4 linked regions of the Drosophila melanogaster genome follow. The gene in region 3 interacts genetically with the main gene of each other region. Each region holds a gene or a part of one and is shown on either strand. Other genes may lie near its edges.

What was found.
Region 1: of pan (region 3) and Axn, changing one suppresses a phenotype caused by changing the other (phenotypic suppression), as found in Drosophila melanogaster (2 studies listed by BioGRID).
Region 2: of pan (region 3) and Ret, changing one suppresses a phenotype caused by changing the other (phenotypic suppression), as found in Drosophila melanogaster (one study listed by BioGRID).
Region 4: of pan (region 3) and arm, changing one suppresses a phenotype caused by changing the other (phenotypic suppression), as found in Drosophila melanogaster (6 studies listed by BioGRID).

The regions. Positions count from the first base shown.
Region 1 is NT_033777.3:30,018,633-30,026,960, forward strand, and holds the start of Axn (axin), read left to right. Parts: upstream 1-4,209; 5' UTR 4,210-5,208; intron 5,209-5,794; 5' UTR 5,795-5,990; intron 5,991-6,833; 5' UTR 6,834-6,907; intron 6,908-7,585; exon of another isoform or gene 7,586-8,240; intron 8,241-8,328. Other genes in the region: Mgat2 (mannosyl (alpha-1,6-)-glycoprotein beta-1,2-N-acetylglucosaminyltransferase), read right to left, coding at 1-1, 59-485, 550-699, 757-885, 963-978; RpS28a (ribosomal protein S28a), read right to left, coding at 3,772-3,966.
Region 2 is NT_033779.5:21,193,753-21,202,076, reverse strand, and holds the start of Ret (Ret oncogene), read left to right. Parts: upstream 1-3,314; 5' UTR 3,315-3,424; intron 3,425-6,580; 5' UTR 6,581-6,947; coding exon 6,948-7,014; intron 7,015-8,324. Other genes in the region: CG31988 (uncharacterized protein), read left to right, coding at 1-361; CG31624 (uncharacterized protein), read left to right, coding at 2,140-2,676.
Region 3 is NC_004353.4:87,013-95,276, forward strand, and holds the start of pan (pangolin), read left to right. Parts: upstream 1-3,342; 5' UTR 3,343-4,201; coding exon 4,202-6,261; intron 6,262-7,410; coding exon 7,411-7,603; intron 7,604-7,824; coding exon 7,825-7,990; intron 7,991-8,264. UniProt on the Drosophila melanogaster protein: Segment polarity protein. Functions together with arm to transduce the Wingless (Wg) signal in embryos and in developing adult tissues.
Region 4 is NC_004354.4:1,894,171-1,902,546, reverse strand, and holds the start of arm (armadillo), read left to right. Parts: upstream 1-1,900; 5' UTR 1,901-2,037; intron 2,038-2,373; exon of another isoform or gene 2,374-2,503; intron 2,504-2,936; exon of another isoform or gene 2,937-3,243; intron 3,244-3,507; 5' UTR 3,508-3,536; coding exon 3,537-3,567; intron 3,568-5,793; coding exon 5,794-7,433; intron 7,434-7,505; coding exon 7,506-7,706; intron 7,707-7,766; coding exon 7,767-8,039; intron 8,040-8,376. Other genes in the region: CG32801 (uncharacterized protein), read left to right, coding at 85-395; Ldaf1 (lipid droplet assembly factor 1), read left to right, coding at 745-834, 933-1,110, 1,270-1,482, 1,534-1,781. UniProt on the Drosophila melanogaster protein: Isoform neural may associate with CadN and participate in the transmission of developmental information. Can associate with alpha-catenin.

The sequences.
Region 1 (8,328 bases), on a different chromosome or scaffold from region 3:
TCTGGAACGAGGGATACTTATAGAAATAGCCATACATATAGCGATGGCCAATACGCACTGCTCCTTTTTGATGTTTCGCGGACAGTCGTTGGGATCCACGCCGGGATACTCGTTAGGATGCGTCTGAATGGAGTACGGGTAGAAGATCTGCATCACCTTGCAGAAGTCGATCTGCTGCACCAGGTCGTTGATGTCGTCGTCGTAGTAGTCGTGCGAGAACACCAGCAGCACCTTCGAAATGTCCCGGGCCTGCGCCAGGCTGACGATCAGGTGGCGCAGGTAGGTGATCCTCGTGTGCACCTGGACCACGATTATCACAGAGTCGTTCTGCAGCGGTCCAAAGACGTCCTCGTTGAGCACCATCTGCATGTCGTTGTACCTGACGATCTGGCGCTTGATCTCGGTGATATTCGGAGGATGGTACACGTCGAAGCTGATGGTGCTGGCAGTAGCTGCGCCCGGACTACTGGCATTCAGGAGCAGGGCTAGAGGGTGATTCGAATCCAGTTAAACTATCTCATTATCTTGGCTAACTCGCTGAAGGCTTACCCGCGCCGTTGAGGGCTCCTGCTCCCGAGGCGCTGTGATTGCGCGAGTGGGGCGTCAGATACTTGTGCAGGGTGGCGGGCACCATGGCCAGGATGGCGTCGTCCGAGTCGTTGGTCACCGCGTCGCCCAGCACATTGTCCCGCGAGTCCACTGCAACAGAAGTAAAGATTTACCTGGTGATGCGAGCTGCTGGCGCCTATTACTTACGATAATTGAAGTTGTTGTACTGGAGCAGACCGAAAATGCCCAGGGCCAGCAGGAACAGACTCCGCATGTAGAAGTTGTTGCGCTTGCGACCCATCGCTCCGGTATTGGGCAGTGGGATCAGAATGCGACCTATTCAATGGCAAACATTTAATGGATTTAGCAAGGCTGGCTTTTCTAAGCCGGAAACTCGATTCAATTACAATTACCCCTCATTTTCGACATCTCGTCGCTCCTCGCTTCCTCGGATTCGAGTAACTGCTGGCTCTTCACTGGGTGAGCGCCTTCATCTCGTCATCTGGAATTAGTTGAGCTATTGATAGTACGTACATTCCTACGATTCGAATGCTTTCATAGATGATAACCTTCTATACAGAAGCATACTACCACAATAAAACTTTCGCTTTGTTTGTGAAGGAATCCAACATAATTTAGAAGTAAGTTTAAGATGGAATATCTTTTATATAGGCTGGCTGTTGGGCTGTTGGGCCCTGTCTCCGATGAGATCAGTTTCTCCAGAGCGGACAATGGAGCTCGGCATGGGAATGCTAATCAGAAGGGTAACGAGTGGGATCCGTGCTTGGGCACTGGGCACTTGGAACTGGGCACTTGAGTTTAATTAGCGTCGGAGGCTCACAGCTCGCCAGATGAATGGCGATGTGTGGACATGGCGGGTCGGAGTGGAGGAGCACATGGACGTCGCGTGGAGGCGAGAGAGCCTGCCGAGTGGGCGGAACGCGTCTGAAATCTCAATTCTGAAATCACAAATCCGCGGCCTCGCGTCAATTGGCGTAAAAATAGATTCGTCGGCGGGCGGCTCAGCGAAATTTCACAAGTGGAACGCCTTTGCCTCGAGGAAGCGCAATTGTGTGGCAGAATCGGGAAAGAACTAGATAATACCCACTATAGCAACTAGCCACTAGTCACTAGAATCATGCAACATCACAGCAAGTTTGCTGTGATGTTTTTGGGGGCGTTTTTGGATGCAATCGCAGTGACCCATTTGGAGCTGTGCTGTAATCATCTTATAGAGTTAAGAGATGATTCCACCAACCATGAGTAACGTGCGAGACTTCTATACAACATAAACGTGCCTGTGTATGTACTTTTTCATATTTACACATATGAAGCGCACTTTATTCTGAGGAGAATAATGAAATTAGCTCATATCAGCGATGTTGTTCAAGGTCGAAACTAAGTAATAAGCTACATACAAGTATGTATCTGTATAAACATTAAAAATTCCCCCGAGCCTTAACTACTCACATGAGGAACCAAAAACGATATTTGAAAATGAGGCACTGCAAATAATATGTATGTAGTTTTTACAGCTTTTCCGCGAAACCTAACTAGTTTGCTTTGGAGTCACGTTGCCGCCAGTTGAAAGCAGTTTCGATTCACAAGTGGACATTCCAGAACCAAGTCACATGCGAAGTTCCCTGGAATGTGCTATTACGAATGAGATGTGATACTATACTGACTGCGAATCCAAGCCAGTGGAAGAGTGGAGTTCCCGATCTCAGGACTCTCACTCCGGCGGAATAGCTAATCACGCCCCTTTGTGCCAGGGGCCACTAATTACCATGTTTCCTGGTAACGTCAATCTGACGCACTTAAGTGCGGAAAATCAATGAACATTAATGACCCGGTCCCTTTATTAATAAATTGTAAGTGGGCCAATTGACTGACGACTGAACGCGACTTTGAAATTCAGGCAATGAAAGGTCTAGGAATAGCAGTACACTGTGCGGAGTTTCGAATACCACTTAGAAAGTGATTTTGAAGTTGGAAAACCGAATGAAATATTCACCATTTAAGCTAGTTTCTATGAATAAATGAGCGCTTGCAGCAACAGATAAAAGTTCATTGACTTTGATTTATTTATGAATGAAATATTCATAATGCATAGGCTTTTTAATTAGAATAATAACATTAAATCGCAGGCAGTAATTTCTTCCGGTGTAGGAACCACCTCTATTCGCAAATGCAAGCACTTTTTTTTTGGGTGTGTCGGGGGGCGGTGGGAGGTGGGCGGTGGCAGGGGGCGTGGAACGAACAGGTATTTTCGGTTTAGTTGTTACGAAATAAGTGGCGAAAATTGACGTGCCGAAAGCGAAGGCAAAAAACCAAAACAAACAAACACGAAAACTCAGGCAAATGCGCCGTACGCTTTGCATTGTTTTTTCGCCCACTTTTTATGGATCGAATTTAACGACAATCTTTGGCCTTTTGTTGCTTTAATTGCCCTAGCTGTCCGCACTCACCTTTGCTGGACTTTTCGCGCAGTGCAGCTGCCTCGAAGGAGCCCAATGCCTGCATTATTTCGCGGTCGCCACTTTCCTTGCGGTCAATCGATTTTTCAGAGCGCCCCGAAAAGTCCAAGTGCAGCAGTGTAACGAATTCGCAGCTTTCGTTCGCTTTTCCGTGCATTTCGGAATTTGCACTAATTGGTAGGATTCCCCGGGGAATCGAATCCGTCACTTTTAATCCTGTTTGCTGTTCTTTTCGCACTCGCTTTTGTTTTTGCAATGCAGGCTCCTGCACTTGCGGTACACACACATACCAGCAGCTGCTACGGCCGCCGCTGCACACACACACACGCACAGCGGGCAAACGGGCATCTCTCTAGCTCTACCCGTCTCGCTTCAACCCACTGCCGCGCGCATTTTCACATTTCCCGCATTTGTTGCTACTTCGCTTGATTTATTCGGCGTTCATCTGGGCGTTCCGTTTTCACTTTCGCCTGGCTGGGGCAACAACAAGCTCGCGATCGAGTATCTCAGCTCGGCCGTCCGCTGCGAACGAGTATCTGAGTAGCTGAGTAACTGAGTATCTGAGCGTGAGTATCTGTATCCGAGTGTCTCGCGGAATCGGAATCAACACAAACAGCTGTTAGGGCTGCGATGGCAAGAATCGATAGCTTAGCGATAGGAAATCGATAGTTTGGGATTTAAAAATTGAACAAACAAAATCGTTTATTAACTTGATTTGGGAAATCAAACAGGTGTAATTCATACATCAGCGCAGTCTCCTGGCCTCGCGTTCAGTTTCCAGCAGCGACAGGATGTCGCCCACGCGAACAGGTCCTTTGACATTCCGAATAATCTGGCGGCTTTGGTCGCCGAGGAACTCCACCCGCACCTGGGTGCACTGCCCTTGGGATCCAGTGCGTCCAAGGATCTCGACCACGCGAGCGTACTGAGGCTTGTCCATGCTGAATACGAAATTCGAGAATTGTTCGACAATAAAAGATTTGAATTTGAAGCTGTGAGTGCTGCTGCCTTTCCAGTCGATGAAAATAGAAAACCTATCTACCCTTCTATCATCCCTGGCGCCACCTGTAGGCCTTGTAGCGCAACATAAGTGCGGACGCGAACCACAAGGTGACCCCAAGTCGAGCTGCCACCTTTCGCAGTGTTGGCAATCCAGTTGGCATCCCCGAGGCGAGCTATCGAACCAGTTCGATTTCGAACCACGCAACTCTAGCATGTAATCGTTCGTCTCGCCGTCTAACATTTGTGTCGAACTACATTTTGTTTTGCCATTCAATAAATCTATTATTTACCACTGAATAAGCGGCGCCACGGAGCCCTAAAAGAGTGTGCGCGTTCCGGAGACTCGGCGCACAGCGGCCCGCAGCGATACGTCCATGAAAATCGAACGGCAACAGCAGCAGCACCCACAACCAGCGGAGGCAACAGCAACAAAATACACAAAATAAAGAAGCAGCAGACGGAAAAGTGCACAAATGGTGCAGAACTGAGTGGAAAGGCCACCGAGCACAGATTTCTCACAGTGCAGGAGCCCGGAGACGCCGAAATGCTCTAGAGGGCGGCGCTTCAGCACGATTTTCTCCCCGCGGAGAGCCCAAAGTTGCCAGCGGACGAGGATGACTGCTCCTGGCGAAGCATTAAGTTAAGAGACATACAGCCATTGTTTACAGCAGGCAGCTCAGACACCGGGATAGGATAGGATAGGATATGCCCTCGGGCCAGCCCACTTGAGTTGAGGAGAGCAGAGGAGAGGATCGGGATCCGTGCGCGAGGAGAGGATCTGCAGCCTTGTTTAGCATTTAGTCCGGTCATCGTGCCAGCGCCTTGTTAACCACACTCTCTTGTTTACGTTTGCTTGTTTGTTGAACTCCACAAATCGTCCTTCCATTAATTGTTAGTCACGCGTCCCTCTCGTTGAGCACACTAATCAAAATGAAAGCATCCTCGTCGATATCGAAATTGAAGTTGAAATTGAAATCGAAATTGAAAGCTAAGTTGCAATTGAAATCGAAGCGTCCAGCCGTTAAAGCTACAATCAAATTACACCCGTCCAAACCCACCTCGTCATCGCCATTGCCATCGTCACCGCCATCGAAGATTGGAGCCAGGGCCGTCAGGACTGCGCCAGGATCAGTCGTCTGCCATCCCAATTGAGTGAAGCCGAGGATACACGAATCTAAGGGTGAGTACTGCTCTTGGAATTCCCATGCACAATCCATAACTAATGCTATTACTTTCTTACGCAGTTTGTGGATTATTGGATTTGCACAACTTACTTAAGGACTAATATTAATACTTTAAGAAAGGCACAACATAAGTCTGATTAATGATCTAGTTGTATCAAGGGAAATGATTGGAATTAGACAATTTATTCACGTCTAACTAATATCTCAAATATTAATAGTAATTTGAATGATCCTTTGTAAGAAATGTGAGCATATATTTTGCAATAATAGTAACTTTATGAAATGTATATTTCATTAAATCGAAGGATGATACCTGATCATTGAAAAAGTCATTTAGAACGCCATGCAAATTCTAATCATCCAACTAAAATATTGCTCAATTAATTAGTTTGCAGCACATTTAATTTATTTCTGAGGTGTATGTGCCAATGGGATCCCATAGAAACTGTATATATCTTTTAACTTCATTAACAAATCAATTAATTAACAAAACAGTAAAACATAATTATATTATCATCCTGCATTCATATCCATAATATACAATGTTACCTATTTAACAATTTACACATCCTCTTCTTTCAGGTACTGAATGTACTGCATCAACTGTAATATAAGCTACGTAAATAGGAATTTATGCGAATAAGAGTAATTAAGTGAAGCGTGTAGTTAAACATTTCTACAAACCGGACATAAAAAGATTCAACCATCTTAAAGGACTTGCAGCGCTATGGATTGATATGTTCTCAAGCGTTGGCCATTTCTCACTTGAGTTTAATCGGTTAGTGTTCTATCACCCTTTATATTCAAAGCATTCTTTAGATTTATTTAGGCGTTTATTGGATGCACCCGTGCGCGAAATATTTTCTCCCCCACAAATCCAATATGTATGGCTTATTGAAAAAAAGGAGGCACTTGGGTGGTTGCTACTGATTGATTTAAAGTTCGCTGTGTTGAAAACTAATTCGATTTGGGCTCTGAAATGTAAATTTATTTAAGCTGAGCCAAAAATAATATTTATACAATTTTATCTCTATTAAAATACCTTCCAATTTTATCTTTGATGCAATATTTATGACTGGCATATAAAAAAGTTTTTTTGTTTAATTTATTTATGGTATTTGTATTATGTTTTGGTTTGAATGATTATTTATGAGATGCACGAGACTAAAGATTTTTCTTAAAATTATTTTCATTGTTTTGGACTTACTTTCTTGGCGAACAAAAATATACCCAATGGCCAAATCTCTTTTCTCCCAATTGATAATTGATAATATCCTTATGTATAAAGCTTGCCTATTATATATACATATTTTATATACATTTATTTATATATATGTATATTTAAAACAGAGTAAAAGTGTTCATAATTTTTTTAACTATCCCATAATGCTTGGTAAGGCTAGAAACATTAGTCTTCAGATAAAACTTTAACTTTAACATATAACATAAATTTATACCAAATGGATAACAATGGCTCTAATCTTTTTTTTTTCCAAACTCTTAACTATATGTTTACAACCTTAGTCTTTCGAACAAATATTTTAGTATTATATATTGTCTTAGCTTATTTCAAAATGATTTCAATTGATCTAATCTTTTCTTCATTTCACTATTCTTTCAGGAACAACTGGAACCATTCGGAATACCAATATCTTCCCCTGATTTCATGTTGAATTTTTTATGCAAATTACATATGTGAGTATACAACTTATTTTTACTTTGTCAATGGTTTTGAAGTTTAAGACAACTACGATTGCATGCGAGAATCTCAGAAATATAAACTAGTATGAAAAACTGATTTACATTGATATACTTAGGTCCTTTTCCATTTCTCGAAACCTAATAATCATGACATCCTGAAGGGTTTTAATAAATCCTTTTTAATTGGTTATTATTCGGAAACTACCTTTTCACTCAATTGAAAAATCCTCTTAGTGCAATAAGGATACCATGATTTCACTATTGTTTATTGGGCTGCAGCACTCTGATTAAGGAATTGAATAAGTTTCCGTTGTCTCGGAGAGGAGCAACAGTTGACCGCGCCCAAGTGCATCCTTCGGGTCCTTCGGTGTCCTTGTAATGGGCGTTGCACCTGAAAAGTAGGCGCTTCCGCGCTGAACTTTTCCGCCTGTGCTGGCAACTTTTGCCGCGCACAAAGTGCCACTATTGACCTTCGGCAATACTCGCAGCCGCAGTGAGTAGTGCCCGTGTTTCCCCCAGTTTGCCGGGCCAGACCATGCCGGCGTGGAGTCTAGACCGCCATCAGACGCCGTTCATCGGGCGGTTGGTTGAGCAATGGCGGTCTTAACCTCATTAGAAACAAACGAGGCTGCCGCCGGTCGCTCCTCCCTTCGTATTGTTTTCAAACTTATTCGAAAATAATTTCCACATTTGTGTTTAGGGGAGGAATCGGACTCCGGAGGTGGGTCTTCCATCTCAACCCTTGCCCCACCCCTCGGCTTTCAGGAAGGACTACAATGCGAACCCAACTCCGCTGCTCTGTTTATGTACAATAAGAACGGGCGGGCGTCTGGTCCTTCCTTTGCCTTGCCACTCTGGCAGTGGGCCAGGATTTGGTCTGGGCTTGGGCAGCAGGGCATAGAATGGGGGGACCAGGGTCTGGGGACTCAATCTGGACCTGCGCATATTGGTTGCACACAATGACTCCTATTCGCCTGCTGCCGTCTCGCTTGCTCCGCCGCAACCACGGACACTCTGAAAAGAACATCCTTTGTGTGCTGTTGTACAATGTACATGGAGCATCATCATGTTGGAGGTCGTCCCAGCACCGCCACTCGCACTCCTGCTCCTCCGCAGGGCAGTCCATCAACAGCTGGTCGGGATATTCAAGGGGCAGTAGTCCTCCACTAAGAAAAAATCCTCGAAATGGTTGTATTCGTTCTTAAAACACAAACATGTATAGTGAGTTTCAGAATCAAAGTGCAGTCCAGTACAGAAAGCTTAAGTTTGTTTGAGGGTCTCAGATTGTTCAATTGCTCGTAAATAAACTATTTTTAAGTGATAAAGCAACTTTTAAGCTGTATACATTCGTAACTAGCTTACCAAAAAGTAAGCCATTGTTCGTTTTTCAGTTTTACAAGTTGCGATATAGATAC
Region 2 (8,324 bases), on a different chromosome or scaffold from region 3:
GGAGCGGTACACCTACACCTGTGCCGGCTGCAAGAAGCCGATCCTTGAAAAAACCATCTGCGCCATGGGGGAGAGCTGGCACGAAGATTGCTTTTGCTGCGGCGGTGCCTGCAAAAAGCCGCTCGCCAATCAAACGTTCTATGAGCGCGACGGCAAGCCCTATTGCAAAAAGGATTACGAGGACCTCTTTGCTGCCAGGTGCGCCAAGTGCGAGAAGCCTATAACGGACTCAGCGGTGCTCGCCATGAACGTGAAGTGGCATCGCGATTGCTTCCGGTGCAACAAGTGCGAGAATCCTATAACCTCGCAGACTTTCACCATCGACGGGGACAAGCCCGTGTGCCCCGCCTGCAATTGCTAACATCGTCCCGGATAACCATGGTGCATCCTTGCTCTTCCTCCAAATTGTTCATTTGCTTGCTTACAATAATGTTGAAATAGTTCCCGAAGCTTAGTAAGCCTAGAGGCATGCAAGAAAACAGACTTACACATTTAACACACAAACTTAATACACACACAAACACTAAATAAAAATAAAAAACAAATATGTTAAGTCTCTGTATTGGGGTAGACAGGTATACCCTAAGATTTGCCTTAGTGGTGTTGGTCACCCAAAATAACATTCTGATTACTGTGAGATAAGGTCGAGCAAGCCCTTTCCAATATGTTGCAGCCTTTCGTTAAATAACAAGCTTTTGGCAGCACTTTAAATAATGAATTATTTAATTTTAAAAACAAAAATTGAAGAGCTTTAAAAAATCTTTCCGTTAAGATCGCAGTACAACTGCCTTATCGATTCTTCTCGATATGAAGTGGTGGCCGTCTCTTGGCGTAGTCACGAATCGGTTACGCAGATGTGTAATCTAGATAAATATGGAATTAATACAAAAAAATTAAGAACAAGATAGAATTTTACATACGAGTTCCCCGACTATCAGATAACGGTTACTCAGCTGGTGTGAATGCAAAAGCGAAATTTAATAATTTTTCTGGGATATCGATAGAAAAAAATGAGTAAAAATTGTTTAAAAATGTGGGCGTTACTGTTTTGGGAGTTTTTAAGGTGAAAGGAGTGGCGTGTCCACAGTGCTTTTGGTATACATATAAAAATTGCCAAGACAAACAATAAAACGAAGAAAAATCTAAACATTTTTCAAAAGTGCGTGGCAGTTTTTGGCTTTAGGGCGTTTGAGTGGGCGTGGCAGAAAGTTTTTTTTGGCAAATCGATAGGAATTTCCAAGACTAATAAAAATATCAACAGTTTTCAAAAGTGTAGGCGTAGCAATTTAGTGCGGTTTTAGGGCGTGGCAAAAAGTTATGGAATTATGAAGAAATAATTTTCAAAATTTCTAAAATGTTAGCGTAGCAGTTATGGGCGGTTTTACGGCGTTAGAGTAGACGTGGCAAAAAGTTTTTTTGCAAATTGATAAAAAATGAAATGTAAAAAAATATCAAGACTTTTTTAAAAGTGTGGGAGTGGCCGTTTTTTGCGGCTTGTGGGCGTGGCAGCATGGGCCAACAAACTTGCGCTGCATCGTTGTCTCTAGAATTTGTATGCTGAATCTCATACGAACAGACGGGCATGGCTAGATCGACTCGGCAATTGATCCTGATCAAGAATATATATACTTTGTATGTTCGGAAACGCTTCCTTCTGCCTGTTACATACTTTTTAACGAATCTAGTATACCCTTATTATACCCGTTATTGCTTGTTGTTGTGCTCCCATTTTGTGTGAAACATCTAATAGAAAGTAAAGTAACAACGGTGGCCCTGTGACAACTGTTTTGATATATGAGAACAGTACAATTACGAACTAGGAAAAACACACTGCGAAAAGAGGAAGTAGTGAAACAGGCGACAAACCCAGTAAGAAATACACCCAATCTTAAAATAAGTACAGAATTATAATTTGTCTCATTAATATTTGCGTTGCCCAGTGTTTATCGTTCCATAGCCATCTTCCGTTGTTTCTTTCAATAAAATAATCGATAGCTGCCCTGTTTTGTACATTTTGTATTTTAACCTCAATTTACGATATATACGAGCAATTCAATCAAAAAAGAGTAATTGAACAATCCCTTGGTAATGCGCATTAAAAATCATTTTTTATTAGCAGTTACCAATCGAGAAGCCAAAATGACTGAGAGCATTGTGTGTCACAAGTGCCAGGAGGCCATCACCAAGCGTATGATCACCGCCCTGGGCAAGACGTGGCACCCGGAGCACTTCCTGTGCCACCACTGCGATGAGCAGATCCTGGATGCCACCTTCAATGTTCAGAGCGGAGAACCAGTGTGCAACAAGTGCTTCGTGGAGCGGTACACCTACACCTGTGCCGGCTGCAAGAAGCCGATCCTTGAAAAAACCATCTGCGCCATGGGGGAGAGGTGGCACGAAGCTTGCTTTTGCTGCGGCGGTGCCTGCAAGAAGCCGCTCGCCAGTCAAACGTTCTATGAGCGCGACGGCAAGCCCTATTGCAAACAGGATTACGAGAACCTCTTTGCTGCCAGGTGCGCCAAGTGCGAGAAGCCTATAACGGACTCAGCGGTGCTCGCCATGAACGTGAAGTGGCATCGCAATTGCTTCCAGTGCAACAAATGCGAGAATCCTATAACCTCGCAGACTTTTACCATCGACGGGGACAAGCCCGTGTGCCCCGCCTGCAATTGCTAACATCGTCCCGGACCCATGATCTTACTCCAAATTGTTTAGTTCCTTTCTTACACTAATGTTGAAATAGTTCCCGATGCTTATGAAGCCTAGAGGCATGAAAGAAATCAGACCCACACATTTGACCACACTTAACATTTCGCACACGCACACACTAAATAAAAATAAATATGTAAAGTCTCTGTATTGGGGTGGCCAGGTAAACCCTTTTATCGTTAAGATTTGCCTAAGACCAACAACACCCACAACAACATACTGATTACTGCGAGATAAACTAGAACGCAAGCCCTTTCCCAATTTTGAGTAAATATTTTCCCCAAACCCAGTGAAAAGAAGCTGTCGAGGAAAGTGTGCTTGATATGAGATCATGTTTCCAAGGGTAAATATGCTACCCAGCCTTGGAACATGCACATCTGATTATCTCATAAACGCCATTAGTCGGTGGAATTATGTTGTTTGGAGGAGGGGTATCCCAGCAGTGCAGCGGAAAATGGAAAACTCTGCGAGGGTGTGCTGACGTGCCGTCATCGTGGAAAATTCATACATTCGGGTAAAATACACGAAGCGGCTTCGTTAGTCAAGTTTTCGTTACGATTTTGTGGGCTCTGCGGCTTTGGAGTTGCCGGCTGCCGGTTTCAGTTTCATTTTTCAAACGGAGCTCGTGCAAAGCGGTTCGGTTGGTCTTTAAGCGATTTTCCACAAACCAAAAAGTATTTCCGCGGAAAAGCTGCCCGAAAACGGGAAAAGAGAGGTGGCTAATTAATTACACTGTTGAAACTGTCCCATAAATAATTGCCGTTTGAGTCGAACAATTAAGGAGTCTGTAAAAAGCTGCAGCAGCTGCAAGCCTCCATAAATCGTGTCTATCAAAATCAAGATCGTGGTTTACGTATGTTGCGAACTTTGAAATTTATTTGCGATCTATGGCCAGATTTTCCAGATTCGGATTTTCCAAATGCAGCCAATATCCTCACGTCTAGTGGCACTGACAACTCAATACAGTATATCGTGTAGATTGGCATCAGATAATTGTGATTTAGCCGTGCGTGTTGAAGTGGAATTAGTTTACTCAATTTGCAACTTCAAGTAATTGCAGTTTATTGAGGAAAATATTTTAATATATTAAAGCTGAAGTGGCGGGATAACAGATTAGCTATAAATATATATATATATACATATATGTATGTATGCAAAGACACATCTTTGATAGTAAAACACTAAGTGTGGGTGGTCTGAGCGTTTATTCTAATTGATAATTATTTTAATTAATACAAAAGATATCTAATCTTGTACTTCTACATTTTAAATGCCTGTTAAGGTCTTTCGTGCTTGCGTTTGCTCAGGTGGAGGCAGAGCTTATAAAAATGTTAATCTTACAAATTATAAAATGTGGGATTAATTGGAAAATGTTTTATTTTGATTACCTAGGTGACAGAAAATTAATTGTTAGCATATGCAAATGTCAGTCGCGATGTGAATTTGCATTTTACGAATGTGTCTACAAGCGATCAGGTCTAAAAACTCAATCAATGGGATCAATTAGGGTTTGTAATACTTGCTATTGCTGACTGTGTTGGATCAAAAAGAACATCACGCACACCTTTAAAGCGGCTGTCATTCCAGAACCTTTTTTCGTGGAAATGGAATCCAAGCCAGGCTCTAAGCTTCCAGGCCAAATTTATTGACGCTACTCTGGCATTCTTTTTCAATTCGTAGATGTCTGTGAACGAAAAAATAACTTACAAGCCGATGGCACTGGAAAAGGTCCAAGCCTAAGTCAATAATATCATCGAATTATTCTATTTGGTTTTTATTCACAGCTCATTATACCAATACTCATATATAAAATACCATTTAAAGTTAGGGGAAAGATTGAAAAAGTAGCAATAATTCGATGAAACCAAATGAAGCAACATTTTTTTTTATTGTGTAAGCCATAATATTTTTAAACACGACACATTAAAAAATTTTTTTTTACATTTCTGTATTCATTAAATCTTTGCAATGCAAAATGTTCTTCATTATGATAAAGCAATGCAAAAGGCAAACATTTGATTAAAATTAAGCTCCCAGTACGCATTCTTAGAATCTTTTTTTGTCGCAGTGCAGTTAAAAAACAGTCGGGGCAGTCACTGGCACTGAAGAACCTCCACAGTCGTACTTTGACTCTTGCGGTCGTCGGATGTTTGTAAGTTTGCCGGCTTCGCATAAGTTTTATATGGAAATTGCCATTTTTGGCGTTTCGAGCAACAGGACGGCTATAGACGCACCTTAAAAGTCCACCCGGATCGGCTGGGTCGCGCTTAACCTTTAATGGGGAAACGCCATGGCCCGAGCCTTTGAGAGCCCCTCCAGTTGGCAACCGGTTGGCTTCCAGTGAATGTCTCTGAGTTTCTGTGTGTGTCTGCTGCAAAAGCCTCTTTGTGTCAAGTCGTATGTTATTAGCATCCGCCAACTGAGCTCCCAGTGTGTCAAAAGATTTGAACTTTAAAGTGCTCAGGTGCTGAAGAGGCCCACAGACGAAAAGTAGACAGCAGACACTTGGACTGCCAGTCAGTCAGTCAGTCAGTCAGTTAGTCGGTCTCTCGGTCTTTGAATACACTGCGAATAAAACTGTGATAATCGCACATTTGGCCATGCTATCGGAAACTATCTTTAGAAAATGTGCTTTATTTCAAGCAAATGTGATTGCAATGATTAAGAAAAACGGATAGAAGAGTGTTGTACTAAGTACCAAAATACCGAAATTACTTAAAGCAAATCCCATTTACCAATAAATTGAAATGATCCAAATTCAATGAGTTTCAGCTTCAGTTTACACAGTTTTTCCCATTCGACTTTTCGGCCAGTGTTTGTGAATTGCTTATCACGTTGTTTGACTTTGAGCTCGTTTGAATTATGCGTGCTATCTTCCATTGCCATTCCCCTGGCCAGCGGGTAGTTCACGCCGCAATTGTCTCTTTCGGGTTCTTTTTATCACACCTGCCGTGCACCGCTGGATACCACACATATGCCGTCCATCCATCCGCACTGGAGCGATGTGGAGTGGAGTACCTAGAGTACTCTGTGGGGTATGGAGTAGGTAGAGTACTCGCACGTCCACAAACTTTTTTTGCCTTTTCCTTGACACGTCCTCGTTGAGCGTTGCTTGGTACTTGCATAGAATTAGTTATCGTAACTAGTTCTATTGTTTTTCGTATTCAAAATTCATCAGGGTTTTCGGCAGTTGGTTAGGAAGTTTAGAAATCTTAATAAATTAGCATTACCACTGTATACAAAACTCTGGTAATTTTAAGCCCGAAACTGTCTCAAAAACCATTCAACTTTTTGACTTAAGGCAGCCAGAGCAAATTGTGAAGTAAACCCACATTGTTTGCCCAAATAATTTAATTAAATTATTCCACTTAAAAACCGATTGAGCAAACTGAAAGCCATTCGACATGGAGTGAATCGGCAAAAAGAACAATTAATAATGATAAGAGCAACAAATAGCACGCACCCGAGGCGCTCGACTTTTAAAATTTAGAATTAGAAAAATATAAAACAAAAAACAGAAAGCAACGCCAATAAGCCTCTCACCTGGCGCTGGCCAAAAATAGCAACCGAAGACCATTTAATAACAATATCAATATGCGAAACAAATTCAAAGCTCATTTTGAATTGCAATAATCAGAATTCGTAGACCGCGCGGCTCTTGAGAATTTTGTGCGGAATTAATTGAGTGATAAATTAGATTGCTTAAATGACAAACGGGAGCGTGGGCGCCGCTATCAATAAAAATAATTAGCAGTCATACCCTTTCAGTGGGTACATTGATGTTTACGAAAACTCATTTTGAAATAAAAAAAATTAATTTTCCAAATTGTTATTTTGGTAAACCTAAACCTCTGTTACTTGTTTTCAAAAGCTTACGTTCTGCACCAAAAACGAAAAACTATTAATGTTCGTGGTCTAAATATCCGCAAAACTCATTGTTATTTTTTCATATTTTCTGCTCTGGTTTTCGCACATTAATTGATAAATGCTACTTATCAATTTGTGGCAAAAGTAATTAAGCTTGTGACGGAATCGAACGTGGCTAATTGGATACAGCATTGGAAAAGAATACCATCACAGAGAAAAAAAACACGGAACATAAAAAATCAAACAAATAGCGACAATTTGTAGAGAAAACCCATTAAAAGCGACGTTCACTATGTGTAAATATGTAATGTGCGTCTACGAGTGAGCGAAAATTGCCGACTGATAACTGACTTTTTGAAAAAGTAACCACGATGGAGTCAACTACTATTGTTTTTGTGACTCTGCTCACAATTATAACCCAACGTAAACACTGTGCGGGTAAGTGAGCTACAAACAATTTAAGGATGGCAAAAATGTTAAGCTTTATTACTCAATGTGGTCGATTGGGTGATTTATCGATCCATTTCAATTTGAATTTAGGCAGCTTGGGAAACAAGAATAGTCGAAACAATTAACACCTTTTATAACTGACTACTGTGACAAGGCTTTGCCAAAATGGATTTTTTAACTTGAAACTAGTTAAATGTTTTATTAATTGGGTATTGGAGTCGTCGGTCAATGTATATCAACTTATATGTAGTAAAGCACGTTAACCCCTTTTTCTCCTGTTTCTGTGGCAAATGGGAATCTCGCAAAAGGCAATTACCCTCATTTCCATAGAGTGCCAGTGAACGAATCTCCCAGATAACCTTAACACCAATATATGCACAGTGGGAATGCAACCGAAGATATGATGTTTCCATTAGAGGTGTAATAAAGTGCAATCTCCTTTTATGACTTTTTTAGGTTGTTGTGCTCAAAGACGCACTGCTTAGCTCCTAATTATAGGCCCATTGCGTTCCACGCGACCAGCAAGGCTCTTATTTTTATTCGCCTGGCACAGGTGTGAACTGACGTCTTGACAAGTTGGTAAGCGATATGTGGGCCCGGCCTTTCGCTTTTGACTTTGCAACCAACTGACTGACGCTGATGGACTGGTCTACCGACCAACTCCCTGGGGCCGCTCCATCAATGCCTCAAACTGGGGGGAAAAAAAAACTTTACACATTGGAAACATGTAAATTTCAATTTCCGCATAGTAAACTCAGTTCGTCCTTTGTTGAATATTAACTTTAAATATTACTTACTTTCTATTTTTACAAATGTTTTCTAAATATCATATAACATTATCATGTCATATATTTTCTTTACAATTTTTTACCTTTTTACTGGGTTTGATTTGATTTCTATGCTTGAACGAGAAATTAAAAACAAAACAGTAAAGTATGTTAATTTTTCTTGTGGAATAATTGTATTTATTAGTCTAGCGGTTGTATAAATATATTGCAATATATTAAGACCAATTGTATTTTTGTTAGTGCATGACGTGCCAGACAAGTACACGCCCAAAAAATTAATTCATCACGCTGCAAAGTCACATTTGATATTTTTTGGGGGATGACTACCACTGCGATCCATTCCAAGACAGCTGGCACTGAAAAATTCCCCTATAGGCCCAGCCAAGTTGAATCTACCGCATATGAATCGCCGGTCAATCAGTCACTCGGGTTAAAGGTGTCGAAGTGCCCGCCAGCTGCCTTCTGCCCCTTCCCCGCCAGAAATTCACGAACTTATGTGCAATCAATTAA
Region 3 (8,264 bases):
GCAGTGATTTTCCATTCCGTTTTTCACCTAGCCTTTTACCTTCAGTACATGCCACATCGCACCACGTTATAAATGCTCATTCTGCTATTGTGGGGGTTAGCTCTAAACAAGAATGCGGTGTTCAGGACCCAACAACGAATAATAGATATCCAAGGTAAGCTACTTACAAATTAAAAAAATTAATTAAAATTAAAAAAAATTGTTTATAATGTCCAATGTGTACGCACATTTAAAACGGGTACTTTAAGAACATTTTAATTATTTAACCGATTGTTAGGCATACCCAATTTATTCGGTTAAAATTATATAAGACCATTCATGATTTAGTTTTTTGTATCGAATTTTTTTTAATTACTGCGCTTTAAAGTTTTTATTTGGTGGGTGGGAATATTACATCCGCCATCTTTAATTTACCAATGGCTTTCTTCAATACATATGCACACATAAGGTACGAATAGACAGACCTCTAACTATATATAAACTCTCTCATTGGTCCTCTCATGGATATAGCGCCTGCGCAGTTAGGACCAACCCCTAAAATGAATTTCGAATTTTATTACCCCTTTCTTTTAAAGTTCTGGCTCTTATAATTTCAAAAATGTACATAAACTTTTGTTACTTAAACTGAACTAGCATAAAAATAATGTTGTTTTAATATACAATTTAAAAATAAAGTACAGTTTTTTTTTTATTATATTATGCTATACATTTTATTTGCCTTCTGAAAACAACTCATCCTAAGCAAGTTACTTTTATACTTTAAGATAAGGCCTTAAAATATAATTTGAGTGAAGCTCTTTCCATCGTTGTTACCTTTGTCTGAAAATGCTTTAAGCAATAAATGTAAATCAAGAGCGAAGTGACATAAATCGGATCATAGTCTTTTAGTTGATTTCGTATTTCATTTACTTACGACATTTACGACATTTTTAAGATTCTGGGCTCAACTACCCAAAATTTTCACTTCTATATTATATTCACTTCTAAAAATGTAATCTTACCTATTTTATTTAAAAAATATTGTTCACACCCAAAGATGAAAAACATTGTAACATTCTCATTTTCGACATACGCTTGCATAGTTTCAATGTGTAGTTCTTAAAATACTACTTAGAATGTTCGATTCCAACTTGATCGAAACGTTAAATCTAAAGTGTGTGTGCATGTCTCTCCTACTAAATCTTAACTTTAATCATCTCGCTTTTATTTCATTCAACTGCTTAAGCTTACTTTTTAAAAAATACGCAAGTTTCGTAGGAAAAGATCGACTACAGTTTTTAAAAAGGTCAAGCTACGGAATATTCTATATGTGCTGATAAAGGTTGTTTTTACTGTTTTTTGGCACGGTTTCTTTACCTAGTTTGTATACAATTTTGAAATTATTAAATATTATTAATATTAATTTTTTAAAAACATCCATAACGGTTTTAAACCTCTGTCGTCAGCCTTTTTTAAACTTTGAGTACATAACACATATTTGTAAAATTTGTTGAGATATATTTTCTGAAAATGTAACATTTGTTTGTATCCTTGCAAAAATTATATCCTAAATATAAAATATATATAAATATATATGTTAATTTCAACAAAAAGTGTAACTATTATGATTTCGAAACCTAACATTTCTAGGTTTGTTAGTTCCCGGAACTACTCTGCTAGTGATCAGGAACATGTATTCTATATATATATACTAAATATATATATAGTAAATATATATATATAGTAAATATATATATACTAAATATATATGTACTAAATATATATATATATATACTAAATATATCTATTCTAAATGTATATATATACTAAATATATATACTAAGAGAATATATATCGTAAAGGCTTCCATCTAGCTGTTGCATACTTCTATTTTAATTGTTGTTTACTATAAAAGCTAGTAGGTTGATATTCACCGTACAGATCCTAGAGACCAAGACGCAGCGCCACATTGTTGACTCATGTTGCCACGCCCACAAGCCGCACAAAACTTCCACGCCCACACTTTTGAAAAACGTGTTGATATTTTTTTTATTTTATTTAGATTTATTAGTCTTGTAAATTTCTATCGATTTTCAATTTTTGTCACGCTCACTTTAACGCTCTAAAGCCGCCGAACCAGTCACTCCCACGCCTTGGAACAATTTTAAAATTTTTTTTCATTTTACTCCTCAATATCTATTGACATCCCAGAAAAATTATGAAATTTCACATTCACACTAGCTGAGTAACGGGTACCTGATAGTCGGGGAACTCGATTATAGCATTCTCTCTTGCTTTTTTCTTAGGTCGAGTCACTGGACTTTAGAGGCCTTTTTTAAAATGCATGGATTTAAAATGTATTAAAGTAGGTTTTTTATTTGTCTAAAAAACTTCTTTGTGAAAAGCGAAAAATATTTATATATATATATACAAATATATTTTTTGTTGACAACCGAAAATAAACTTTCTTCGAAGACATATTAATACTAACGAACATAATTATGAGCAAGTAAACAGTTGAATTGGCCAATTAAGATTAGTGATAAGAAGTTTTACACATCTTTAATTTAGAATCAACCGATTTTTTCAACCGTTTTCAGTGAATAAATAAATTTCTAATATATATCCTCGAAAAATGTAATTTTCAAGTACTAATTTATAAAAAATATTTTGATAATATTTTTTAAATCAAAATGTTAAATTATTTGCTTTAAGTTAAGGTGGTCTAGAAAATTTAAATTTAACTCAAGCTTAATATAATATTGTTTAGTTTACTGTATTCCGTTGTTGAAGCCCATACATATATATATAAATATATATATTCGTAGATATGATTTGAAATTACATGGCGCCATCTATATCTGAAGGCACTTGAGTTTTGCACGTGTTATGTTGCCAGGTAAAATCCAAAAAATTTAACATACATACACAAAATATGAATAAAATTAAAAAATGGGTTACTTTTAATCTGGAATTACGTATAGAAAAAATGTAAATTAAAGTCAAATTTGAAAAGAGTCGTACCAACATTGGATGCTATGAATATTTTCATGTAAAATATTTGTAAAAATACATCATTTTGCGATTTTACTTGTAAAAATGTAAATTTACGCAGCAGTAAAATTCACATTACACAGAAGTACATATTTTTAAAATACAGATTAAACAACTTTATTATTTCTTAAGAATGAATTAAGAATGAAAAAAAAAACAAATTTAATAGTATCTATTACTTTTTTTTTACAAATTCGTTACAAACATGTGCTCGATACAAAGTTTGTGCGCAATGTTTCTCACGCAGTTATTTTCGAGCCGATGGCTCGTCCTTGTCTCTCTTGTTCCGCGTCGTACACCTTTATCGTTAAGTTTTATTTTTAAAGACCGAAAGAGAGTAAATCAGACAATTGTTGTGGCAGTATATACAATTTTGCGAAAAATCTATCTAAAGGAATCAATGCCTAAAAATAGTTGAACAATTTCCGGAAAGAACAATTTATGAACACAAATGAAAAAAATAATCTTTATTCGATTTGTCCATTAGAACACAAGTAGAATAATAACACGAAGTGTATGATGAAATCGAGTGTTTACATATAAAGTGTATTTATAAATTAAATATAAGTTTTAAAAATAGGATGTCATCTTTTGTTTCCATAATAATACTAATATAGTGTTGATCGATTTAGTAATATAAATATGTCGGAATAAATGGAGATAGTATATAAACCGATTATTGACCATATTAACAGTGAACTAAATAAGTAAAACAATTGTGGCTTCCTCTAACACAATGTGGAAATTACAATTAACAAACAAATAAAACAAAAAAAAATTACGACCTCATATTGCAACAGTCGAGCAACAGGGTAACGTTAATTAAAATGAGATTTCTATATAATTAAAAAAATGAAAACAACGCATGGATTCTGGATTATAACATAAATATTACGCTATCTAAATCTCATTAATATTGCAAGAAAATTTTATAAACAACGAACCCTGTATGAAATGTTGAAAAGTTGTACAATGGTGCTTGAAAAAGTACTAATTTAATTAAATTTGAGTCATCAAGGTGAACTAAGATTCTAAAGGTTAATAGAAATGTTTAAAATTTTGAAATACAATTTATCCAATAAATAATATAAATAAAATATAAAACAAAAAGTTAACGAATGACTAACACCGAACGGATTTTAACAGCAGGCTCCCACAAAATCCGATAATGCCACACTGTGGAACAACTAATAGTGAAATTAATTTAAACTCAAACGAATTAATCAGTTACCAGAAAAAGAAGAGCAATGAGGATCTACAAAAAAAGCACGATAAAAAATGTTCAATCAATTTGAAAACGAGCCAGGTCCCTGATGGTGGGTTCAATAACCAATATACGCAATTAACTGCCAACAAAATAGAACAATATAACTGCAATGATTTGGATAAAGTTTGTATTGTACCATCAAGTAGATCAGACGGAATGGAGGCATCGTTTTCCGAACTTCTTTTAAGTCCGAATAAATTAATTTCTCAGCCTTGGCAAACCGCTGAAGAAATAGAAAATTGGCAAAATGACAGTTTTCGCCAACGAAATGAAATGTTTTCTTGTATATATACGAATAGTATGCTAAATCAGCAGCCATGCTCGCAGCAGCAGCTTTTGGCCACACAACTTTTATACGCTCGGCTTCTTCGGTCTCAGCTAGCTGAACGGGAATTTCATTCGAATAAATTCAACATGGTTCATTATTCGGGATCTAAAAAGACCATGCTTCGAGAAGATGAGCTTCTGTCAACCCCATCTTCGCAGGATAATAATAACAATATTAAGTTAATTAAAGATATCGAAAACAGCATAAGTTGTGTAGATCCCCCTTTGTTTGAATTTTCTAACGTTCATCAAAGAGCAGAACAAAAAAATAAACAAGACGACAAAAATTGTTACTCACCAAAATTAAAATCGAACAAGGAAGCCCTAGATGGGTACGACTTACAACACACGTGTGATTTTATCAGGGAGCAAAAAAACATTCTTATCGACATTAAAAAAAAACTAGATAATCTCTCAGATAGCTCAGGTAAATTTAGGAAAAGGTTAAGTGTACGTCAAAGTCACATTGAAGTAAATAATGGCTCTAATTCAGCCCTTGAGGAAAGTGTAAGACGACAACTAAATGGAAATCGCAAGTCTATTGAAAACTTACTGGAAGAGGTAAAACGATTATATAATCAATGGAGCAGCGCTGAGCTCTATTATGTTCGCAGCTTACAACGATTAGGACTCCCATCAGAGGAAGATGGTGAATATACATCTACACCAACACATACTATCATGGCATTAGCTGCTATAGCACTGTCTAATGAAAGTATTTTGCCACAGAAAACAAATGCAGTGCACTCTAAGATTCCAGATGTTGAAAGTGAGTCCGATTTTTTTTTGACCTCAGCAAAACCTAAAACGTTGGTCGAAATAGAAGATATAATATTACAACTCGCATCATCTGTTAATATGCATCAATCCAGCTCTGCTAGCACCCCTCATGAATCCTACAGTGATAGTGTTAAAAGCGATTGCGAAGAATCAAATTCAGCACCCACTTGCATATGGCATTCGACAAGGCAAACCTTTCGCCACAAAAAAGACGTAGAGCCTTGTAGCACTGCAGCTGAGATTATTTTAGAATATGCTTCATTGTCTTCATCTTCTAACATTGAAACCTCTCGCTTGCTTACATCTGCATCAAATTTAACAGATGTTACAGAAAATTATAATGTCACAACGCAATTGCCTATTGTGTTTAATTACAATCGAGAAAGTTCAGCTGAGTCAATCGTTACCGATCCTCTACTTGTTCCTGAGTTTTCTACTGCACCTTCAACCCCATCGACTGGTAGTAATAGTGGATGCTCTACTGGAATGGTTTCTGGAATTTTCGGGCTAAGTCAAAACCGAAGAAAACAAAGACTTGCAAGGCACATTGAAACTCTGACTACAAATTCTTTTAAATCGAATGCAATAAGGGGAAATGTTGACAACGAAATCACTAATCAGCTGAAAACGTCGCCATCAATTAGAGCATTGCCAACTGAAAATGTTTCCCATTTAATTACTAAGACATTGTCTTCGGCTAATGCATCTTTAACAGCGCAGGAACTTTCCATAACTAACCTGTTTAAAGAGCGCCTATGCGCTTTACAGGGAAATGCCGGATCAATGAAAACTGAAATTTTTCCAATGATAGATGCCCCATACGACTTAAGTATTGGAAGCAAGACAAAACACATGTAATTTTATTTCGCCTTACTTGGTTAAACCCTTTATTTCTTTGTAAAACTGTTGAAGTCGATGCTCACTCCTAATAGTACCTATTTTCTTTAATGAACTGTTGATTATTGCAAGCAGCCTGTAGTTGTAAATTATACAAAAAATGTTGTAAGTTATAATAAATTGGTTTCGAGTTTTTAAAGTTTTTTTTTTGTTTTATTTAAAACATTTTTTTCTGTTTATGTGGAATGTTCAATGTGTAGTCTTTTGATTTTTCCCGCTCTACAATACTTATACGCTTATATTTGAAAGGTTTTGATAACTGCCAATTTATTTAAAAAGTGATATATATATTTAAATATATGTATATATTTTATATTTTTGTTGCATAGTATTTAACAGTCTGGAGGAAGCGTTTCCAAAGTATATAAGAACCGTCTTGTGCAGGATTGAATCAGAGTCTATATAACCATTTCCGTTTGTCCGTCTTTCTTTCCGTATGAACGTATATATTATCGAGCGGAAAATAAATGGTCTTACTAAATTCAGTGAAGAGCATATTTGTATCAGGATCACGTATGAATGTCGCGAATTTCACTTACTCTAACGACCGAAACCCTTTTAATTTTTTCTCATCCCAGAGTGCAATAAATTTAACCGCCAAGTAGGAGTAGTGGTTAACCTTCAACCTTCCCCGCACTTTTAAGCTGAGTTACGAATAACAGATTGTATTCTGTTCATTAAAAAAAATGCCATTATACAATAGCATATGCAAGCTTTTCCAAACCATTGTTAGAAAGCGATACTTTTCCCTTTATGTTAGCTGAACTACTAAACGAAGATTGTATATTTTTACAAGTGTATACTTCCGCATGTCTTCTCAGCATTCTTGGAAATAAGTGTCAACGTAGTTTTTTCAGAAACAAAGGTATTTAAAGTGAGTGTTGAGTTATCGTGGGTAGTTAAAAGCATGTAAAGATTTAGTAACTTATAACATATACATTTTTGTAAAAAATAAAAGTTTTATACCATGTTTAACGGATTAAAGTAAACCATGTGTTATTAACTACCAAGCAAAGCACTTTTAAAATATTGATTAAAAACGCATTGTTTAGTTTTATAACACAGGGAAGAATGAATTACAATTATCATTTTGTTTTATCTTTTAGGAACCTGGAAGCAAAGCACACATCAAATGCGCAATCAAATGAATCCAAGGAGACAACAAATGATAAAAAAAAACCCCATATTAAGAAGCCACTAAATGCGTTCATGCTCTATATGAAGGAAATGCGTGCTAAGGTTGTTGCTGAATGCACTCTGAAGGAATCGGCTGCGATTAATCAGATTTTAGGAAGACGGGTAAGATATTTAAAAAAATTTTTATTTTGTATTTGTTAGGTTAGATTCCAATTCTTTCCGATTAGAAAAGTTGTGGGGATTGTAAAATTACCCTTTTCGAGAGGACGACAAATATTTAATATTAAAATCATAACAGGGTAGAAATTTACGATGTTTAGATAAAGTATAGAAAATATCAATCGTACTTCTAATGGATTAACTTATTAATAATACTTTTGTAGTGGCACGAACTTTCCCGCGAAGAACAAAGCAAATATTACGAAAAAGCTCGACAAGAGCGCCAATTGCATATGGAATTGTATCCGGGGTGGAGCGCACGAGATAACTATGGTTACGTGTCAAAAAAGAAAAAGCGAAAAAAAGACAGATCGACAACGGATTCGGGAGGTATTGCACAAAATTTTCAAAATATTACTCTTCTCTTCTTTTTATTGCATTTCACTTTTATATTATTTCATTTAATCACTAACATACAAAACGTAAAGCACACATCTAACATAAACAACTAATCTATTAAAACTAGAAAAACAGTAAATTAAAAATACGTATTTGTAATTTGTGTACATACATAAAACATTAAAATGGTAAGGTTCACAACTAAAAAGAGTACACAAATAGTTCTCCACTTTGAAGTTATAAACTTTAATTTGTAGAATTAAAG
Region 4 (8,376 bases), on a different chromosome or scaffold from region 3:
AAATAAAACTTTAATCATTGAAAGTTTTACAATAGTTTACAAAATTGTTCACTACTGCTAATAATATCTTCTCCTGCCTTCCAGTTCATCCGCTAACACGGAAGTTCTACGCCCAGTATGAGCAACGCCAGCCGACGGATACCTTGAGGTACCTACGGCACACTTGGCCTGAGAAGCATGTGGAGCGTCAGAGGCAGCTCGGAAAAGCTGTTCCGCTCCTGGAGTCGCAGGTGTACGGCTGGTTGCCGCTCAAAAGTGGAGAGCGAGCCGCCGATCTGAACTTTCTGCATGCCAAGAAGGTGCGCTGCGGCATGACTGTTCACGGGGAGCGCTTGGTGGCGGAGAGGATTACGGCGCGTCCTCCGTTTAACGGACTCAGATTCCTGCTTCACTAATCCTACGGCGAAGAAATGTCGCACGCTGACCGCCATTATAAATTTATAATTTTTTTTTTAACATAGTGTTAATTTTTTTTTTGTAAACAAATTAATTATGATTAAAAAGCAAAACTAAGCCACGCTAGATCATTATTAAGAAACGCATCTTGTCTAATTCAAATTTAGTAAAAAAAAAGGTGGCAGCTCTCCCTCGATGATTTAGTTTCAGGGCTACGACGTCGATTATTTTTTGTTTATTTATATTGTTTTCATTTACTGTTGCTTCAAGCAGGCGAATGAACCTGGAACAGACTCCTCCTGTAATGCGCACAGCAACCGCCTGAGATTCTCGCAGTAGCCACGCAACATGGTGGGTACGGGTGTGAGTGAAGTGGGTGTTCCGGCATCTTCGGAAGAATCCGTAGATTTCGGCTGGAATCGGCATCGCAAGTCAAAGGTCGCGTTTCACGGACTCAGTGGCAGCCGGCATCTAATCACTTGGGTTCTTTGACTCACATAATATTCATAACTGATTTGATTTGATCGACTCTGCAGGCTCACTCGAACAAGGCTCGCAAAGCAGCCAAAGAGGCAAACGCCAAGAAGTCTGCGGGATCGGGAACAGAGAGCAAACCGGAGCACGTAAAGATACATGGCCCAGGCGATCGTAGTGCAGGAGTTCTGACTGGCGACCAGTTCCTGGAGAGCTTGCTCCAGACTCTCTACAGGTCATGTATGTCCACTAGTTGAAGTACTATCTGTAAAAGCGCTTAATTGCTTACTGCCACAATTAGTTACTTATATATGTACTACTCTGTACGGTTGTTAACCTGTTTTATGCATCACACCGCGTAACAAAAGTTGCCTTTGTTATAACGTTGCCATATTGCAGGGCTTCAAATCTGCCGCCTGGCAGATTTTGTGATGTCCGAGCTAGGTGGAAATGATTTCCTGGAGGCCACCGCGGCCTGGTGCACCCGGAATCCGCACGTTGCTATCTGCCTGCTAGCTGGTGGTCTTGTATTCATGCTGCCCTTCCTTATAATATTTGGGTTTGGAATAGCCACCATGGTTATGACCTTTACAGGTTTGCTGGTGCTAGAAGGTGCGTTCCGTAGTGTTTACCAGAGATCACGTTCTTATCGACTCGTTTTAGGCACACTCCTGACCATTGTGTCCATGGTGTTCTTCGCCTGCCTGGGAGGACTAGTCATAATGGTACCTCTCTTCGGTGTCGCCGCTGTTGCTGCCTATTTCGGATTTGCCCAGGTGTATGGCCTATGTGATGGAATAGAGATCCATAAGAGCGCGTGGGTCATGTTCTTTAGGGATCAACGGAAGGCCGGCGATCCGCCGCCAGCTGCTGTGACCATAACCGATGAACCCACTTCTACGACTGCATAAACCAATATTGCTTGCCCAACTTAAATATGTATTAAGAAATTAAAGACCAGTGTTTGAATACTTTTGGAAATTTAAAAAGTGCGCTTTCTATTTTGAAGCAAGTTGGCAGCCACCTGCGATAGAGGAGTTATCGGTTATCTGTTCTGCGCTCATATACACAGTTTTCATAGTCGGGGATTTTTGTCGAATTTAAATATCTAAGTGCGTCAAAAGTGCGTTAACCTGCCTTTGAGCAGATAAATTTACTTTCGAAGCGGTAAGTAATAGTAAAGTCATAGATATTTCTTTAATTCGTCGCCCAAAAACAATAGTTTTTGGTCGTACCTGTGTTGTCATACACCCTCATGTACACTCAGGTGCTTGTGTTGGTAAATGTTTATACAAGATAAACGGTGAGTTCGAGATAACATGATAACATGAACTAGAAATAAATTCGCCTTAGCTAAATTATAAATATTGTGAATTGAGTTTCTTAAGGATGAAATGCTATACAAATTTCGTGAGATTTTTGTGTTCTCAGAACAAAAAAAATTTGAAAAATTCCTTTGGCCTATCGCACAGGGCCCATCGAGTTATCGGGACAGCAGCAGGCCATCGCTAGTTGGGTTTCGTCGCCATATACACAGTTTTTCTCGAGCAGACAATTCGCTGTTATTTTGTTTCTTATAGCGTTTTAAATAAATAAATCCTGCTCTAAAGCAGACTTAAATTCCTTGGACGCGGTGAGTACTGTTAGTCGGTAGTGAATCCGTTTGGAAAGCCAAAGTTTCTGTGTGCCATGAAAGTTGGAAAGCCATGGCAAACAAGTCGGCGCGGGGGTGGGCAGGGGTTCGCTGGATGTGCGCCTGTGTATGTGTGTGTGTATGATCTGGATACACACAAACGGCATTTTTATGTATTCCTCCCCCGTAAATCGGGCGCTTGTTTTGTTGCTCGCTGGAATGTAAACAATGCCACAGACAGGAAATCGTTTTCTTCGAATCTAGAGGCAGGCTTATCGTTAGGTGTTTTATCTAATCGACAACTGAAATGGAGTTGGGATTCTTTCTGAGCTGCCTACGCGAGTATGTGTGTGTAGGCACAATCGTTTGGATGTGTGGCAACTCTGCGCAGCACTGCATTTGTATGCTGCACTGCCGCGGCCCTTTACTTTCTCTCCCAGTCTCTTTCCCTGTCCCTTTCCCGCACTCCGCACGCGCGGTGTTGCAAGTGCCTTGCTTTGCTTGCGCTCTCCGCATCTGGATTCTGTTCCGTTTAAACGAGCGTGCTGGTCGGTCGCATTTTCCGCTGCGCCTTTTTCGAGAGAAGTGAAAAATCCATTTTGTTTTTTGTTGGAGTGCATGAGATTTGAAAGAGTGCTAAACAAAGTAATTAAATAACTCAAGGTTCGTGGCCAAAGTCTTCGGCAGGTAGACACACACATACCCACAAATACCCGTTCTACCTGCGTAAGAATGTATTAGTGCGTTTGTTTGTATACGCAGCATATTTCATATTATGCTTCGGCATCTCAAAGCGGAAATGAGTTAAAAAAAAAGACCAACGACTAGAATAAGTGACTAACGGACGATATCTGCGTCTGTTGGCAGTCTGCAAACACAACAAGCCCTTCTTTCCGGGGCCCCCATTTAGTGGAGTTCCGTGGTCTCCATCCGAAGCACACACGAACTCCATGTTATTGACTGTCCAGCACATTACTCATATACTCTCCGTCTCTTTCTTGCAGGTGTGGTGTAAAGCGCCTCAATCACCAAGATGAGTTACATGCCAGCCCAGAATCGAACCAGTAAGTATTTCCAGCAGCGGTACTCTTCCCTTTCCCATCTTCCAGGGAGTATGCAAAGAGCATCAAAGTTAACTGTGTATCAGAGTGTTCCACTTTGGGCTTTTGTATACCCAGTCCAAATGCAGTTGTATACAGGATCCGATTTCATCAAATTAGAGATGATATTGCGTTTCAATGGACGCAATTAAGTCATGGTAGCTCTAGAGTTTAGAACATTTAGGATAAATAGTCAGAATACATGGCCCTATGAAGGGGATGCAACAGCGCATTGTATCTGTGAAACAATTATCCCCGTATCGCAATACAATAACAACCCCTCTCCAACGTTAAATGAGGGAGCGATGCTTGTTTTTGACAAATTTGGCAAATTTGACATAAAGTATTTGCTTTTGTCATTTGTTTCTGATATTCCCTTTGTGGGTTGTCTGCAGAATACAGGGTAACAACTATATCCATCCACCCCAGACAAATAATTTGTGTACATCTACATACTTGTAATGCTTGATGATCTTTTTTTTGTTGGGCCATCAACCACCAGCGGCCTGTGCTTATATCCGATTCATCAAAAAAAAAAGCGCTCCCTTCTACTTCGGAGTTTGAAATTTACACTTTTCCGCTGACGCAGTAAACGGAGTAGGAAAGAAGATTTCTTTTTGACACTTGATTTGCAGAGCGCGTTGGTGAGGCTCTCAGAGGCGCAGGAGAGGACTTCACCAAAGGGGAGGAGCTCGTTAATGCATGTTGGCTTCATTGAACTCCCATCACTTTTGCCACAGAAAGTCGAGGAATGTCAATATCTAGGACGACAGTAGTGAACAGTTCATAGCCATTTAGGAAGTGGCCTTTTAATTCGACCACTATTAAGTATTTAGTTTAGTTTTCAACTAATTGCTGTACAACCCCGAAACCCCCTTGAGTAGGCCGCTGCTCACTATCCTTTGAAACTCCATTCCCTCCCCATGCTATCCACTTACGCACACACACATTCAAGGACTCGTGTACTTGCACGTGGCACTCCAACCCACGCCACCCTTTTGCCATCGCTCCTTGGTCTTCTCCGGGGACCTTGTTCTCGTACCCCGTCTCCCGAACTCGCAGTCGAGTTGGCTGCACATTTTTCTTGGCTTCTGCCTTTGCTTTTTTCTGGCGCTGCTGCTGTGCAGAATTTAATTAGTAAGCGGCAACATGCAATTAAAGGCTCCGCCCGCGCCCTCCATCCCAACACAGTACTCCATTCAAGTGCGTGGCCCACTCGACGGATATGGCGAAGAAAAAACGCTTAATCGATTTGGGAAATGAAACGAAAAGCGATTACAGTATTACAGTCGCATGTGCTTATAGCGAACAAAATTCATCAGCTGTGGGCTAAACCATTTTGTTGAACTCAGAGACCACATTTGGAGACCTGGTCCATAGGTTACCAGCATGTTTCAATGCTGCTTTTTATGGAGTCATTTATATTCAGCACCGTGTTCGATCTATTGAGATTTGACTGTAGTATTGCAGAGTGGATGGCGAAGAGCAGTGAAGTTTGTAATTACGAATGCATACAGAAGGGGCGTGGCCGTGCTGTGTCCGCGCATAAGTAAAACAACAAAGGCAAAAAGCTGGGCCTGGAACGGCATAATTAAGACTGAAGTGGCAAACAAAACGCCCACAAATCCTTTTGCCAGTACCCTCTCATGTGTGAGCATCTGACCCCCTGCACCAAACCCATTCCGCCCAGCGCCCTGAACTTTCTGGGAATATCCTGCAGCGTTCAATTTGTCACGCTTCAAAGTTTTCCTTTTGCATTTTTTGCGCCGGCTGTTGGGATGCTGCTCACTTTGCTGTCAGTCGCTGTCGTTTCCCATTTGGCCATCTTTTAACGAAAGCGCATGCAAATGGGTTGCAGAGGGTTAAAGCGTGTGCATCCCCGCACCCGAATTCGTTGCATTATATGTAGATGGTGGGCTGCACTCAGTATTCCGTTCTACTCTGTCGTTTTTCCACTTCAAAAGGTTTTAAAAAAGAAAAGTTACCATGAATGTGTAGACAGATGTTAACAAGTTAAAGAAGAGCATACAAAAATTATTCTTACACTTCATTTCTGCTTCTTTGGGGTCTTATAACACGATTAAGTTGCAATGGAAATGATCGAAACACATCGGTGATTCGAGTTAGAAAAGTTGGAGTGTATATTTTTGTCAATTCACTCTAAAACGTTTTGCAATCAATCTTTTGCAGTGTCGCATAATAATCAATACAATCCACCTGATCTGCCGCCGATGGTATCCGCCAAGGAGCAGACCCTCATGTGGCAGCAGAATTCGTACTTGGGCGACTCCGGCATCCACTCGGGTGCCGTGACCCAGGTTCCATCGCTGTCTGGCAAGGAGGACGAGGAGATGGAGGGAGATCCACTTATGTTCGACCTGGACACCGGTTTCCCGCAGAATTTCACACAAGACCAAGTGGACGATATGAACCAGCAACTGAGCCAGACACGCTCCCAACGTGTACGTGCTGCCATGTTTCCGGAAACCCTGGAGGAGGGCATTGAGATTCCCTCCACCCAGTTTGATCCCCAACAGCCGACGGCAGTGCAACGTCTTTCGGAACCGTCACAAATGCTAAAGCACGCGGTGGTCAATCTGATCAACTACCAGGACGACGCTGAGCTGGCAACCAGGGCCATACCCGAGTTGATCAAGCTGCTGAACGATGAGGATCAGGTGGTAGTTTCCCAGGCCGCCATGATGGTCCACCAGCTGTCTAAGAAGGAGGCCTCGCGACATGCCATTATGAACAGCCCTCAGATGGTAGCCGCTTTGGTGCGTGCCATCTCTAACAGCAACGATCTGGAGAGCACCAAGGCAGCGGTAGGAACACTGCACAACTTATCACACCATCGCCAGGGTCTGCTGGCCATCTTCAAGAGTGGCGGCATCCCGGCACTCGTCAAGTTGCTCTCCTCGCCAGTGGAGAGTGTGCTGTTCTATGCAATTACCACTCTGCACAATTTGCTGCTCCACCAGGATGGCTCTAAGATGGCTGTGCGCCTGGCCGGCGGGCTTCAGAAGATGGTTACTCTGCTGCAACGAAACAACGTTAAGTTTCTGGCTATCGTCACAGATTGCTTGCAAATTCTGGCCTATGGTAACCAGGAGAGCAAGTTAATAATTCTTGCCTCCGGAGGGCCCAACGAACTCGTGCGCATTATGCGCTCCTACGACTACGAGAAGCTTCTGTGGACCACTTCGCGGGTACTGAAAGTGCTCTCCGTTTGCTCCAGCAACAAGCCGGCCATCGTGGATGCCGGTGGAATGCAGGCGCTGGCTATGCACTTGGGTAACATGTCACCGCGCCTTGTGCAAAACTGTTTGTGGACGCTCCGCAATCTTTCGGATGCAGCCACTAAGGTGGAGGGCCTTGAAGCTTTGCTCCAATCTCTCGTCCAGGTTCTGGGCTCGACCGATGTCAACGTGGTCACCTGTGCCGCCGGTATCCTTTCAAATCTGACGTGCAACAATCAGCGCAACAAGGCCACCGTTTGTCAGGTGGGCGGTGTGGACGCCCTCGTCCGTACTATTATCAATGCTGGAGATCGCGAAGAGATTACCGAGCCGGCTGTATGTGCCCTGCGTCACTTGACCTCGCGTCATGTGGACTCTGAGTTGGCCCAGAATGCCGTACGCTTAAACTACGGACTATCGGTGATTGTAAAGCTATTGCATCCACCATCACGCTGGCCCTTGATCAAGGCCGTCATTGGACTCATACGCAATTTGGCCCTCTGTCCGGCCAATCACGCCCCGTTGCGGGAGCACGGGGCCATCCACCATCTGGTGCGACTGCTTATGCGCGCCTTCCAAGACACAGAGAGGGTGAGTTAGTTATAGTGGAAGCATAAGTTGGAGAGAATAATTATGACGTCAATTATACTTGCAACCTTGCAGCAACGTTCCTCGATAGCCACCACTGGTTCACAGCAGCCGTCCGCATACGCTGACGGCGTTCGCATGGAGGAGATTGTCGAGGGCACGGTGGGGGCGCTACATATCCTGGCCCGCGAGTCTCACAACCGGGCACTCATTCGCCAGCAGTCGGTAATACCGATCTTTGTACGATTGCTGTTCAACGAAATCGAGAACATACAGGTGAGATCGAAGTTTATCTTGTTGTGACTCAAGTATACTATGAATATTTTCTTACTTTAGCGCGTGGCTGCTGGCGTTCTTTGTGAGCTCGCCGCTGACAAGGAGGGCGCCGAGATTATCGAGCAGGAGGGCGCCACTGGGCCGCTGACCGATCTCCTGCACTCGCGCAATGAAGGCGTGGCCACATACGCCGCCGCTGTTCTCTTTCGCATGAGTGAGGACAAGCCGCAGGATTACAAGAAGCGGCTATCCATAGAGCTGACCAACTCGCTGCTGCGCGAGGACAACAACATATGGGCCAATGCCGACCTGGGCATGGGTCCCGATCTACAGGTGCGTGCTAAGTAGGCTAAGCAAATTCGACGTCCCCGGGATTCCGGCTTTTTAAACGCCCTTCTTGTGTTCCATTGAATCTGATTTAAAAATGCAGCGCGTTAAGCGAAATCTGTACATAAAATTGTAAATTTGTAGAGAACCTACTTTAGTCAAGCATTATATAATGGTATCCAGATTAAGTATCGACCTATATATCGCTTGCTTACGATTTCGATAACCTATTTTTGAATTTCCATTTCATTTGGGTTCATTTCGTTCGGTTTTTTGCTTTTCTTGTAAACCACCAATCGATAGACCGTATATGTTAGTCGATAAGTAGGTAGTTGTAGATGAA